Linked DNA regions of Caenorhabditis elegans. The protein of the gene in region 1 interacts with the protein of each later gene in a pairwise test. Each region holds a gene or a part of one and is shown in the gene's direction. Other genes may lie near its edges.

What was found.
Region 2: the proteins of F52C6.3 (region 1) and gad-1 interact in a two-hybrid assay, tested with the Caenorhabditis elegans proteins (2 studies listed by BioGRID).
Region 3: the proteins of F52C6.3 (region 1) and zim-3 interact in a two-hybrid assay, tested with the Caenorhabditis elegans proteins (2 studies listed by BioGRID).

Annotation. Positions count from the first base shown.
Region 1 is NC_003280.10:1,923,100-1,926,266, forward strand, and holds F52C6.3 (Ubiquitin-like domain-containing protein), read left to right. Parts: upstream 1-1,659; 5' UTR 1,660-1,667; coding exon 1,668-1,779; intron 1,780-1,827; coding exon 1,828-2,154; intron 2,155-2,205; coding exon 2,206-2,360; 3' UTR 2,361-2,621; downstream 2,622-3,167. Other genes in the region: F52C6.4 (Ubiquitin-like domain-containing protein), read left to right, coding at 48-159, 214-404.
Region 2 is NC_003283.11:6,430,792-6,435,263, reverse strand, and holds gad-1 (Gastrulation defective protein 1), read left to right. Parts: upstream 1-1,767; 5' UTR 1,768-1,776; coding exon 1,777-1,969; intron 1,970-2,016; coding exon 2,017-2,762; intron 2,763-2,810; coding exon 2,811-2,989; intron 2,990-3,033; coding exon 3,034-3,353; intron 3,354-3,400; coding exon 3,401-3,825; 3' UTR 3,826-3,944; downstream 3,945-4,472. Other genes in the region: erfa-1 (Eukaryotic peptide chain release factor subunit 1), read right to left, coding at 1-576, 623-948, 995-1,104.
Region 3 is NC_003282.8:10,556,866-10,561,758, forward strand, and holds zim-3 (C2H2-type domain-containing protein), read left to right. Parts: upstream 1-1,849; 5' UTR 1,850-1,855; coding exon 1,856-1,954; intron 1,955-2,017; coding exon 2,018-2,739; intron 2,740-2,896; coding exon 2,897-3,158; intron 3,159-3,244; coding exon 3,245-3,496; intron 3,497-3,576; coding exon 3,577-3,770; intron 3,771-3,818; coding exon 3,819-3,880; intron 3,881-3,925; coding exon 3,926-4,061; intron 4,062-4,101; coding exon 4,102-4,120; 3' UTR 4,121-4,345; downstream 4,346-4,893. Other genes in the region: zim-2 (C2H2-type domain-containing protein), read left to right, coding at 34-313, 386-646, 738-931, 983-1,035, 1,083-1,159.

The DNA of each region.
Region 1 (3,167 bases):
TTTTTGTTGCAATACTCTCAATAAATTCAACTTTTCCAGCTAAAACCATGCTGCTCTCCGTCAAAACGTCGACTGGAAAAACCATCACAGTGGAGGCGCCGAAAAATGTGAAAACTGAAGTTCGCGACAAACAGGGAGTCGTTTTCACAGTCTCTTACGGTATTTATCGATTTTTTTTTTGGTTTTTATTTCAATATATGTTTATTTTTTCAGGAGAAGTAACCGGAGATCCAATCACTGTTGAAGCATCGGACGCCATCAAGGATCTTAATTTCAAGGTTGCCGAGGCTCAGCGAAAACCGCATCGTGAAGGAATGCGAATTTACGTTAAAACTTGTGAAAAAACGATCACTCTTGACACTGCTGCCTCCGATACCATTGCAAGTGTTAAGGCTAAAATCTAGGAAAAACGAGGTTTTCCATCAAATCTGCAGAAACTATATTTGGGTTAGTACTTTGAAACTGATAGCTTGTCTAATTTCTTTAGTTTTTACAGAACCTTCCAACATTGTTTTGTGCAAGGATCAACGTACTATTTCTGACTACAACATCAAAAACGGCAGTACTCTCCGTTTGGAAGTTCCTGTAAAAGAAAAACTGACGGTTTCTGTGAAAACCTTATTCGGAAAGACGATTCCTATTTCAATCAAGAATACGGATACTGTTGAGACATTGAAGTTCAAGGTTCAGAATAAACACGGTGTTCCACCAGATCAGCAGCGTCTCATTTTCGGTCGGGCACAGCTCGAGAATGACCGTGCTCTGTTCGCCTATAACATTCGTGATGAGGATATTATCCATTTAGTCTCCAGACATCGGTTGTGAAGTTCTCAATTTGATTGCTCTTAATCTGTTGTTTTGTTACTTTTTTGTTTTTTATTGTTGATAAATGTTGAAGGTTTTTTTTTTAATTTTTAAATTAAAAACACTGTCTCAAAATATTACAGGTACCATATTTATGATATATGAGGGTTTTTTTCCAGTAAATTCTTCTGTGTTCTGAATTTCCGACTTAAACATTTTATTTCGATGGTTCAGAAAATTGGTTTTTCAGGTTTTTGGATACTTCAGGCTGATATTTTGAAATACTCGAATTTAATTCAATTTAGCATTATTCAACCCGCTAGAATTTCTGTTGGCACATGTTTCTTCAATTAGAATTTCTATTATTTAAAAAACCACAAAGAATTTAATAAAAAATCAGCGAAACTACGGTAGACGAGGAAGTAGGCAGTTGCACACGATACACATTAAATAATTGACTTTTCCGTTTTTCTTGATTCAGTACTCGAAATGTTTTCATCGAAAACTTAGAAAAAAGTTTTTTAATATAAATGAAATTTCAATAAAATTTGCGCGTCAATTAAAGTGTTCTTTGTGCATTGTGAACTTTTTTTGCTTACCGTAGTTTTGCAATATTTGTTTTTCGATTTATTGACTTTTTCAACGCAATTCTTCTTTATAGCTTGCTTTTTGCCCGTAATTCATCAAAATCTTGATAATAATATTTATTAATTCATTCTATTCATATTTTTAAGAAAAATCATTTCGAAATTATCCAAAAACCAGATTTCTCCCTTGTTTGCTTCTTTTTTCACCGTTGTCCTCGTTTTTCTGTTGCAAAACTCTCAATAATATTTAATTTATAAATTTTTCCAGCTAAAATCATGCTGCTCTCCATCAAAACGTCGACTGGAAAAAACATCACAGTGGAAGCGCCGAAAAGTGTGAAAACTGAAGTTCGCGACAAACAGGGAGTCGTTTTCACTGTCTCTTACGGTATTTATTGTTTTTTTCTGGGTTTTGCATTAAAAAAATCATTTTCAGACAAAGGTACCGGAAATCAAATCATTGAAATGGAGGACACTGTCCAAGATGTCAAAATTCAAGAGGCTCAGCAAGCACCGCTTCGTGAATCAGAAGAAGTGACCGAAGATCCCATCAGTGTCGAATCATCGGAGGTCATCGGAAATCTGAATGTCAAGGTTGCCGAGACTCAGCAAGAACTGCATCATGAAGGAATCCGAATTTACGTTGAGAACGCTGGAAGAACATGCACACTTGACACTTCCGCCTCCGATACCATGGCAAGTGTCAAGGCTAAAATTTGGGAAAAACTAAGAATCCTCCCAAATACGCAAAAACTATTATTGGGTTTGTACTTTAAATATTGAAAGATATGTCTAATTTCTTTAATTTTTACAGAAAACTGGGACCTAGATTTGTTTAGCGATCATAGCACTCTTTTTGACAACAGTTTCGAAAACGGCAGTACTCTTCGTTTGGAAGTTTCTATAGAAAAAGAAATTGACGTTTTTGTGAAAACCTATACCGGAAAGACAATCACCATTTCAATCTAGAATACGGATACTGTTGAGACCTTGAAGCTCAAGATTCAGGATAAGGAAGGTATTCCACCAGATCAACAGCGTCTTATTTATCAAGGATCGCAGCTCGAGGATGACCGTACTTTGATTGCCTATAACATCTATAATGAGGCTACTCTCCGTTTAATTCTCAGACTTCGTGGATGAAGTTCTCAATTTGAATATTGTTAATTTGTTACTTGTTATTTTGTTACTGTTCTGTTTATTTTTGTTGATGAATGTTGAAAAAGTTTAGATTTTTTTGAAATTAAAAATATGGTTTTTAAACAGCCGGTATATTTCTTTGTGTTCTGAATTTCCAACGTAAAGAATCTTTTTCAGTGATTCAGAAAGTGTGCTTTTCAGGTTTTTCGTTAATTTCTGTATTTCTCTATCATAGAATACATTTCAACTCACAAGAATTTTCGTTAAAAACCACAAAAAAATTAATAAAAAATCGGCAAAACTATGGTAGACGAGAAAGTACGCTGTTGCGCACAATGCATGTTAATTGACGCGCAAACAGTTTTTTGTAATATTTTTTTCCTGTTTTGCTTGATTCAGTACTTGAAATGTTTCTTTTCAAATATTATAATAGTTTTTTTTAAAATTTTCTGCAAAAAATGCTGAAATTCTAATAAAACCAAAAAAAAACTCAAAAAACGGCATGCGCGTCAATTCATGCGCATTGTGTTCATTGTGAACTTTTACGCTTACCGTAGTTTGTCGAGATTTGTTTTTCGATTTATTGATTTTTTCGAAACTCTTGCCCATATTAACTTGCTCTTTCTCGCTATTTAT
Region 2 (4,472 bases), on another chromosome or scaffold:
GAACAATATCCAAATTCTCCCAGCAGATGAGAGTTTCAATAGCTCCCATTTCAAGTGCGGCAAGAGTGTCTTTAACTCCGAAAACGTATTTTCCAGTGTCTTGGCTGATTTCATCGAAATATCCACCAATCAGTTTCTTTTCCTGAATGAACTTAACACTTGCCAGCGTATCGGCAGCAAGTTCAATAGCTTGGTTGAAACCATTTTCACCACCATAAGCAATATCGACAGTCTTGATCATCTTGGCTTGAAGTCTTTGATCAAACATATCAGATTGTCCCAACTCTGTCTTGAAATCTGCACTACCAGCAAGAATAAGTCCAGCAACTGTAACCTTGTCGTTCTTGATAAATTGTTCCACCGAATTTTCAGCTACTTTACGGACGTAATTGTGCCGCTTCTCATTACGGAGACGAGCAAAACGGACAGCAGATTGACCTCCTCTACCGTGCTTCTTTGGAAGATCGACAGTGAACTTGTGCAGAACTTCACGAGTGTTTCCTTGGAGTGTTCCGAACAGACAACCGTTTCCATCCATAATGATAAATCCGAACTTGTTATCGTCAGCAAGAAGACCTGAAAAATGGTATATTTTATGATGCATGATGAAAATTAGAAATACCTTGAAGAGCTTCGGTGTGAAATTTGTTGTCGCAGAGATACAATGAAGTATTGATTGCTTTGAATGGCTCAAAATCAATGTTAACTTTCTTTTCCTTTCCTTCGTCGGTCATGATTGTTCCACAGTAAACGACCAATCCATTTGGTGGGACTTTGTTGTAGAGTTTCAATCTTCCCTGTACTGATGTGATAGCTCCCAAAACGGAAAGTCTGTTGACACGAGACTTGATGTTAGATGCCGTTCCGTACTCTTCGGCCAACATTCTCTGGATTCTAGCCACTTGATCTTTTGGTGGAATGATCAGCGAAATCATAGAAGTTCCATTTCTGTAAAAAAACAAATGTAAAATAAACGCTTCACGAAAATAGTTACCCTCTGGCTAATTCCAAACTTTTGATGAGCCGTTTAATTTTCCACATTTCGACATTTCTATCGGCGGCGTCATCGCCTCCGGCGGTAGCACCTGCTGCGGGAGCGCTCATATTCTATTTGTGCTGCACGTCACCGATTACCTGTAATTGTATTATATAAAACACGAAAAGAGAGTTAAAGTAATTAATTCGGGGAAGAAACTCAAAAATGCGAAAAAAAAGATATTTATAGAGAACTGGTTATTCTACATTGCACAGAGTTGTGATGGAAAATTAGAATATTGTGCAACATGTTGCAATGGTTTCAATTTGATTTTTTTAGAAGAAAATGTATTTCGTTTTCTCTGAGCAATGACAAAATGATGAATAAAACATTTCTGAACAATTTAAACTGCAAAAATCGATAATTGATGACGCGTAAAAACTTTAAAAACTGAAAATGGGAAAAGAATTTAAATGGTGCCAAGGAACACGAATACGGTTTGTGGAAGGGTCTCGGCGCGAAGTAATGTCCGATTGTCCACACTTTCTCCGCGGCCTAGTCTCCGAAACAAGTCAGCCACGTCCTCAATGTTCGAAATTCGAAAACATTTTTCAGCTTTCATCAGAACTCCAGGACTGTTTCCAGAATTTATTAGTTTTTTTCGCCAAAATATTATATATGTACCACGGCAGTTCATTATATTGGTTGTATTACACGTTTCTTTTCGTTATTAACTCTTTTTTTCCCGTTACCGCCTAATAGATGAAAACGAATTTCAATAATTCTTTCAGATCACCACAATGGATGATAATACGGCTCCAAAAAAGAATTCTGAAAAGAAGGCACGCGTCTTTGACCTCCAAGCAATGTTCGCGCAAACGATAAGCAATGCTCCCAGAACTGAGGAACCAACTCACGTTCCGCAGTCGGTATCGGTGTCTTCTAAATCAGAATCTGGTGTTTCTTCTTCAGCTGTATCTGATGATGAAGATGGTAAGCCGAATATAATGTTTTAATTATTTCAAATTTGTTTTTTCCAGATTTCATGCCAGATCTACCTCCAGGATTCCAAATGCAACAGTCTGAAGCGGGCCCCTCCTCGTCTCGAGCTGAAGGTCCCGAAGATAGTGATGATAGCGATTTTGACGAGACAGAAGCAATCTCCATCATCAAACTGATTCCAGCTGCATGTGAAGCGAAGATCAGCCATGGCACTCAAGCCATCAGTGCACTTCGGGTTGAGCCTCCTGGTGTTCGGTTTGCCAGTGGAGGGCTTGACTATTACGTGAAGCTGTTCGATTTTCAAAAAATGGACATGTCAATGAGATACGACAAAGAGCTTCTGCCTGCAGAAAGTCACGTTATCAATTCCCTGGCATTCTCTCCGAACGGCGAAACTCTTGTAGTAGCTAGTGGAGAAGCTATCATTCGCCTACTGGATCGAGCAGGAAAACAATGGTCTGAAACAGTTCGTGGAGATCAGTATATTATTGATTTAAACATCACTAAAGGACACACAGCAACAGTTAACTGTGTCGAATTCAATCCACTAAACAAGAACGAGTTTATCTCTTGTTCTGATGATGGAAGTCTACGACTATGGAACCTCGATGATCATAAAGTAATCACCAAATGCATCAACAAGCACAGGAAAGTCATCAAAACAAAAGGAGCTAATGGAAAACGTGTCAGCCCGCAAGTTTGCACGTTTTCTCCTGACGGAAAATGGATTGCCGCCGGTTGTGATGACGGATCTGTTCAAGCATGGAAGTATGGATCGCAATATGTAAGTTGAAGTTCAAAAACACTGTTTATTCTCATATTTTAATTTTAGGTCAATGTAAATTACCTTGTACGCAAAGCTCACAACGGCTCGATTACTTCTATTGCTTTTTCGCCCGATTCAAAGAGATTACTGTCTAGAGGTTTTGATGACACTCTGAAGATGTGGAGCTTAGATAACCCAAAAGAGCCGCTTCTTGTGAAAACCGGTCTCGAAAACGCTTTCAAAAGGTATCCTTCTATTAAAAACTTCACCATAAGTATATTTTTTGTAGTACTGATTGCGGATTCTCCCCTCGTGCCGAGGTTGTCTTCACTGGTACATCGTCACCCAACAAGGATACACCTGGAACATTACAATTCTTTGATCCAATGACATTTGATCTTGTCTATAAAATTGATTACCCTGGAATTTCGTGCCACCGAATTCAGTGGCACCCGCGATTGAATCAAATTATCGCTGGACTCTCGGATGGCACCATTCACGTGTACTACGATCAAACGATGTCACAGCGAGGAGTTATGTCATGTGTGACGAAGCCACTCAAAAGAAATCGCGCATCTGAAGTTGTTCGAGAAGATATGGTTCTTTCTCGTAAGTTAAACAATTTTTTTCGAAAAATATTTATCTTCATATTTCAGCTCTTTCCCTCGAAATGTTCCAACCGCGCGGAGAGGAAGGAGAAGAAAAGGAAGTCACTGGATGGAGAATCAAGAAGTATCTCCGAATGCAGGATAACAAGCTTCGTCCCGAGTTCCGGAAGCCTGCAGATATGCCTATCAACGGAAAGAGCGCAAATGGACGTGTGGCTGCAAGTGGTGGAAGTCTTCATTCGTATTTGGCAAAGCAAATCGGAACTGCTCGTAATGCCGAGTTCCTAAAAGATACCGATGTTCGTGCAAGCATCCTGAAACATGCTAAAGACGCCGAAGAGAATCCATTGTACATTGATAAAGCGTATCGAAAGACACAGCCAAAGAAGATTTTCCAAGAAACTGCAGTCGAGCCAGAAGATCAAGATGACGAAGAGCTACAGCCTGTCTTCAAAATGCCGAGAACGAAGTAGTCGTTGCATTAATTTTTTGTTTTTCATCTGTCTGTCTCCCTCTTGTAATATTGTTTTCCTATTTTTTTCTCTATTTTTTGTGTCCCAATAAATATAGAGTCAATGATCACATGATGTTGGAGAAATTGTGTGTTCGCCATAGTCATTGTCTTGTCCAAATATCTAACGCTAGCTACACTCTAGCATGCTGCTCACTTCTATCTTTCCCATTCTTCCAACTCCCCCCCATTTCAACAATATGTGGTCGTTTGTGTCAGTGTCCGGTGGACGATGGCTACACTTTTGCCGCAAGAATTGTATCCAATCGGGATCAGGTTCACTTTTAAAATTGAACCCGGTTCGGATGTTTCGCTTTTGATCTCCTAATCCAAAAACCTGAAACTGTATTTTTAAAAACGTTTCTATTATGGATTTAATTCCAAAAATTGAGAAAACTATATTTAAAGAAGAAATTATTGACATGGCCTCCATTCCATTTCTTTCTTATCATACATTTTCCCACAACTGATACCATGTGCAGCCTATTCAAAGGGTCACTTTTTGCTGAAGTGTGTAGAACAAACATGCAATCCGAAATTACAGTTCCACAACTGTTTACTCTACAATTTCCTTTTCACATTTTCTTCCTGTTTCAGTGCCGAGAAATT
Region 3 (4,893 bases), on another chromosome or scaffold:
TAGTTATTTACTTAAGAATTTCGTTATTTTCAGGCCGATTCAAATTTTAAGTCAAACTGTGCGTCCTAATATTGAACATACATTTCCTGTTTCTACATCAGCTATTCAATCAGATGGTTTTTCGTACGAACATCCAATTAATGAATATGGAGATAATGAATCATTTTCATCAGCAAAAAGTCATTGTGATGAGCCCAGTTTTTGTAATGCTGTCGACTTGAAGCCAGTTCTGAAAGTTTTGAATTCTGGAAGAACAGTTTTGACTGGAAGCATTATCAGTGATCAACCTCCAGTCATAGAACTGTCAAGAGATGTAATGTTTAAAAATCGAATTTGAAATAATCACAACTTGTTGAGTTATCCGTTTTCATTAATGAAATTGCAGCATAACATCGAAGGAGTGTTTCAAAATAATTTCGTTGACGTCGAGGATACTATGTTGATTGAAAACTATGAAGAGGTGGGAGCCGAAATCGTTGAAGTAGATGATCAAGATCAGTATGAGGTTATCAGTGAAGATGATGAAAAGGAAAAGAGCCCGATTCCTTCGAAAAATCGAGTTTCATTTGCATTTCCACTTGTTCAAAGTCCCAACAAACAAAAAGAAGAAATGAATAAAGTTCATAACATTAAATGCCATTTTGATGTGAGTTGTTTTGCCGCGTTGTCAGAGAAAAAACTGAATTTCAATAAAAAGTCGCATAGATATAATGTGTTTCAATCAATAATCTTTTCAGAACTGTAATCGAAAAATTCACTGGAAGATTCGTTATGGAAAACTTAGACTGGTCGATCATGCACTATCACATCAAGAGGAAAAATCCATTGACTGCCAGAAATGTGAATATTCATGCCAGACAACTCGACAAATGCGTTATCACTACAAAAAGATTCATGCAAATCTGAAAATGGAAGGCTTCGGAATTCTCAAGTGAGATTTTTTAAAACTAACCGTTTGAAAACTGATAAACCCCTCTTGTAGCATTCCTCTTCAAAATACCAAATTCTCAGATGTATGGAATAAATGTTTTGGAGGTACATTATTCTAATTATTTAGAGATTACATGCTATTCAAATTCCAGATCAACTGAAAACGATCGGACCCGTTAGAAAAGCTGAACGAACTCCTCGTCGAAAACTCAAAAGTATTCGCTTATAGAAAACCAAAATCTCTTCTAGAGTACAAGCGGAAGATGTGAAGATGTTTTTGTAAGCTCCATAACTGCTCATATCACTAATTTCAAATCCAGTTTTAACAGAATTTAATGAGCATCACGACGACACCCTCATGTACAATTATTATCATGTTCTAATTATTTTGTAGTTTTACAGAAATAAAATACAGTGTTTTTTCAGTTAATTGTGTTTTTTTTTTTTGGATTAATCGTTCTTTTGACGAATCAAACATGATATTTTCACAATTATTTAGAGTCAAAAATGTAGTTTTTATAAATGTAAATGTTAAAAATTATTTCAAAAAAAGAAATGCTGTATGCAACAAAATTTAAAAACTAATTGTAAGTAAATACAGTATTATATTTCTTCCTACCGTATACTTTCAAGGCACATTATACTTTTGTCAAAGGTCTCACAACGATCAGGTCTTTCTTCATTTCTAGATTTGTCGGAAGTATTTTGTTTCGTTTCCGCGTTTTAGTTCCTGTTCTTTTTGTATTTTAACCAGTAGATGAATAAAGACTGTTTTAAGCCTGATATTTATCATCATGATAACAAACTTTCAATTTCTTCACTATTCATTGCGATGAATTTATGTAAATAACGGTTGTCGATACGCCTGAGAACATGTTTTTGGACATTTTTTTAATTCTTGATGTTTTCATGGTATATTTTTCAGATGACCTGCGATGACTGGAACAGTTTTATTCAAGTGAACATTTATGGGAAAACTATAGAAGGTCTTCAGCAACAGGGAGTTGTGTTGGAATCTCTTTTGGTTGGTTTGATAAGGAAATTTTATCTTTTGCTATTTGAATTTGAATAGTAGTTATTATTTCAGAACAATATCGGTTGCTCCAAGCTTTGGATTGTGGAGGGCTCAATGTACACGAGCTTAACTAATGAAAGCTCTACATATTCTGAAAGTACAATCGAACCAGTTGTTCCACTAAGTACAACTTTGGCCACTAACAAGCTTCCTCGATTTTCAACTCCTGCTGTCGGCCATTCAAAATATAATTCTGCAAAAAATTTCACATTGAATTTGGCTGAGAAGCTATCGGAGATTCTATCGGATGACGATAAAACTGATAAATGCCTGGAGAACTCTTATCAATCCGAAACTTCCAGGGAAGACGTGATTCAGGATTTGCTCGAAGAAATGGTACAAACTGTTGCCGATGTTGATCAAGCTCCGATTCTTTTGAGCACAACTCTCGCAAACATTGGTGTTCCCCGCTTTTCAACTCCCATCAAACCACAAAATGGTTTGGATCGAAAGTTTACAATGAACATGACAGAAAGAATTTCCGAAATTGATTCGAATTATCAAGGTTATGAATTATTCGAAGATTCCTCCAATGACTGTACCACTTTGATCCCCAACTGTCAGGAGGTCGAATCGTCATTTTATCGAGCACTTCCTGAAGCAGCTAGTTCCATTGTTCCATATCAGGAAGGAAAGAGAAGAAGCTCGAGACGTTTGAGTACTCTGAGTAGTCTCAAAGAAACTGTCAAAATAGAGCCTACAGTTTCAAAGTTAACGAAAAGAAGACGGCTCACGTAAGAATTTTTCTGACGAGAATTCTGACCGTTCGTATAGCGAATTAAGCAACGTTGATATACTTACTCTATTTTCAATTGAAGACAGACCAAACTTCCAATAATGCCAAAAACCAGTAAAATTAAATATATACTTGAGAATTTCATTGTTTTTTAGATCGATTGAAAGCTCAAATGAAACCATGGTGCCACACTCCGAACCAATTCCACTGGATAAAGATGGATTCTCATATGAACAACCAATTAATGAATATGGAGATAATGAATCGTTTTTGTCAGCAAAAAGTCTTTGCACTGAGCCCAGGAGTTCTATTTCTGAGGACGTGAAGCCGGTTTTGAAAGCTACGGATTCAGAAAGAACAGTTTCGATTGGGAATCATATCGTTGATCATCATCCAGTCATAGAACTGTCAACTGAGGTAGGATTGAAGAGATTTCCTTTATTTCTAATTTGTAAATTGTCGCAACATGATGAGATTTTCGTTTTTAATTGAATATTTTGCAGCATAATACCATGGGAGAGTTTCAATATGATTTCGATGATGAGGATACTGTGCTGATCGGAAATTATGAAGAAGTTGGAACAGAAATTGATGAGGCAGAACAGCAGAATGAGGAAAACAGTGAAGATGATGAAGAGGATGAGAGCCCGATTCCTTCGACGAAAAAAGTTTCGTTTGCTGTTCCAGTTGTCCAACGTCTTAACAAGCGAAACGAGCAAATGAATAAAAATCATATTATTAAATGTAATTTCGAAGTAAGTTCCGATCTGAGCCATTTCTTAGGGAGGATGTTCAGGAAATATGACAACATTTAAAAAAAAGAAGCTATTTTCAGGGTTGTAAGCAAATTCTCTCGTGGAAACTTCGATACGGCAAACAACGACTTCTGGATCATGCAATGACTCATGAAAATGAAAAGTGTCTCGTTTGTCGCACATGTGAATACTCTTGCAGTACACATCCCCAAATGAAGTATCACTATCAAAAAATGCATCCAGAAGTGAGGTGTGATGGGTTTAATATTCAGAAGTAAGCCGTCAATTGTTCAATAAATTATATAAAACACGATTATTTCAGAGTGTTCAATATCGAATTTGATGAAGTGGCGATTTTCGATCTTTTCCAAAAGTGCTTCGGAGGTATTAGACAGATATGAAATATTGATATTCAATGTGTAATTACAGCACATTCTTCCATCATCGGAAATATTGGGAAACCGCGGAGATATAAAAAATGTAAAAACTCGCTGAAAAATACTCCAGAAGTCGACAATGAGAATGTAGATAAAGACTCTCCAGGACCATCACACGATCTTTTCTAGTAGGTTTTTCCATATACTTTATTTTATTCTGAAGTTTAGTTTTCGCAGAATTCGCTGATCGTCTTTCGCTACGACTCTGCACAATGTGTTATTTGTCAACTCATGTAACATTTGCAATGTTTTTTAGTAATAGTTTCATTGTTTTGTTTTGTTTTTTGTTTGTTATTGTCGAGATAAACTTATAAAATATGTTTTTCATTAAAAAATAACTTGTTTTGTAAATTTTTTGTCCGCGAGTTTTTCATCTATAATACCTTTTTTGACTATTAAATTCAGTTCTGTATATATGTGATATCACTAAATTTTAATATACCTTCTTAAAGGCACACGGAGTTATTCAGATGGGCATCGAGGCGCAAAAAGTTTATGGTACTTTTCTTTAACTTTTTCGGCTGCTTCATTCCTTTTTTAAAAACATTACTTCGTTTTTTGCTAATTTTCTTATTAACTTTGCATTTTTCTGTTAAATTTTTTTAATATCCTTCTTCGTGTAAAACATGCATTTTTGATCATAAATGTTAATTGTACTATGGAAAAAACTGATCTAAAACAATTTTAAACAGGAAAATGAGTAGAAAACGACAAACTTCGCTAAAAACTAAGTGATTTTTTCTTGAAAATACAAGAAAAGCGTAGCAGCAAAAAATTGAAAAAAAACCTAGGTTTAAACCTATTTACCATACACTTTTTGTGCGGCGAGACCCATCGGAAAAAATACGAGAAGGCTCGTCAATATCTTGTTAAAATATGAAAATTTTCTAATTTCAAAGATGCATGCCAGATTATTATGAAATAACAGATGACATGCATGTAAATGGGTCTTCTGGCACG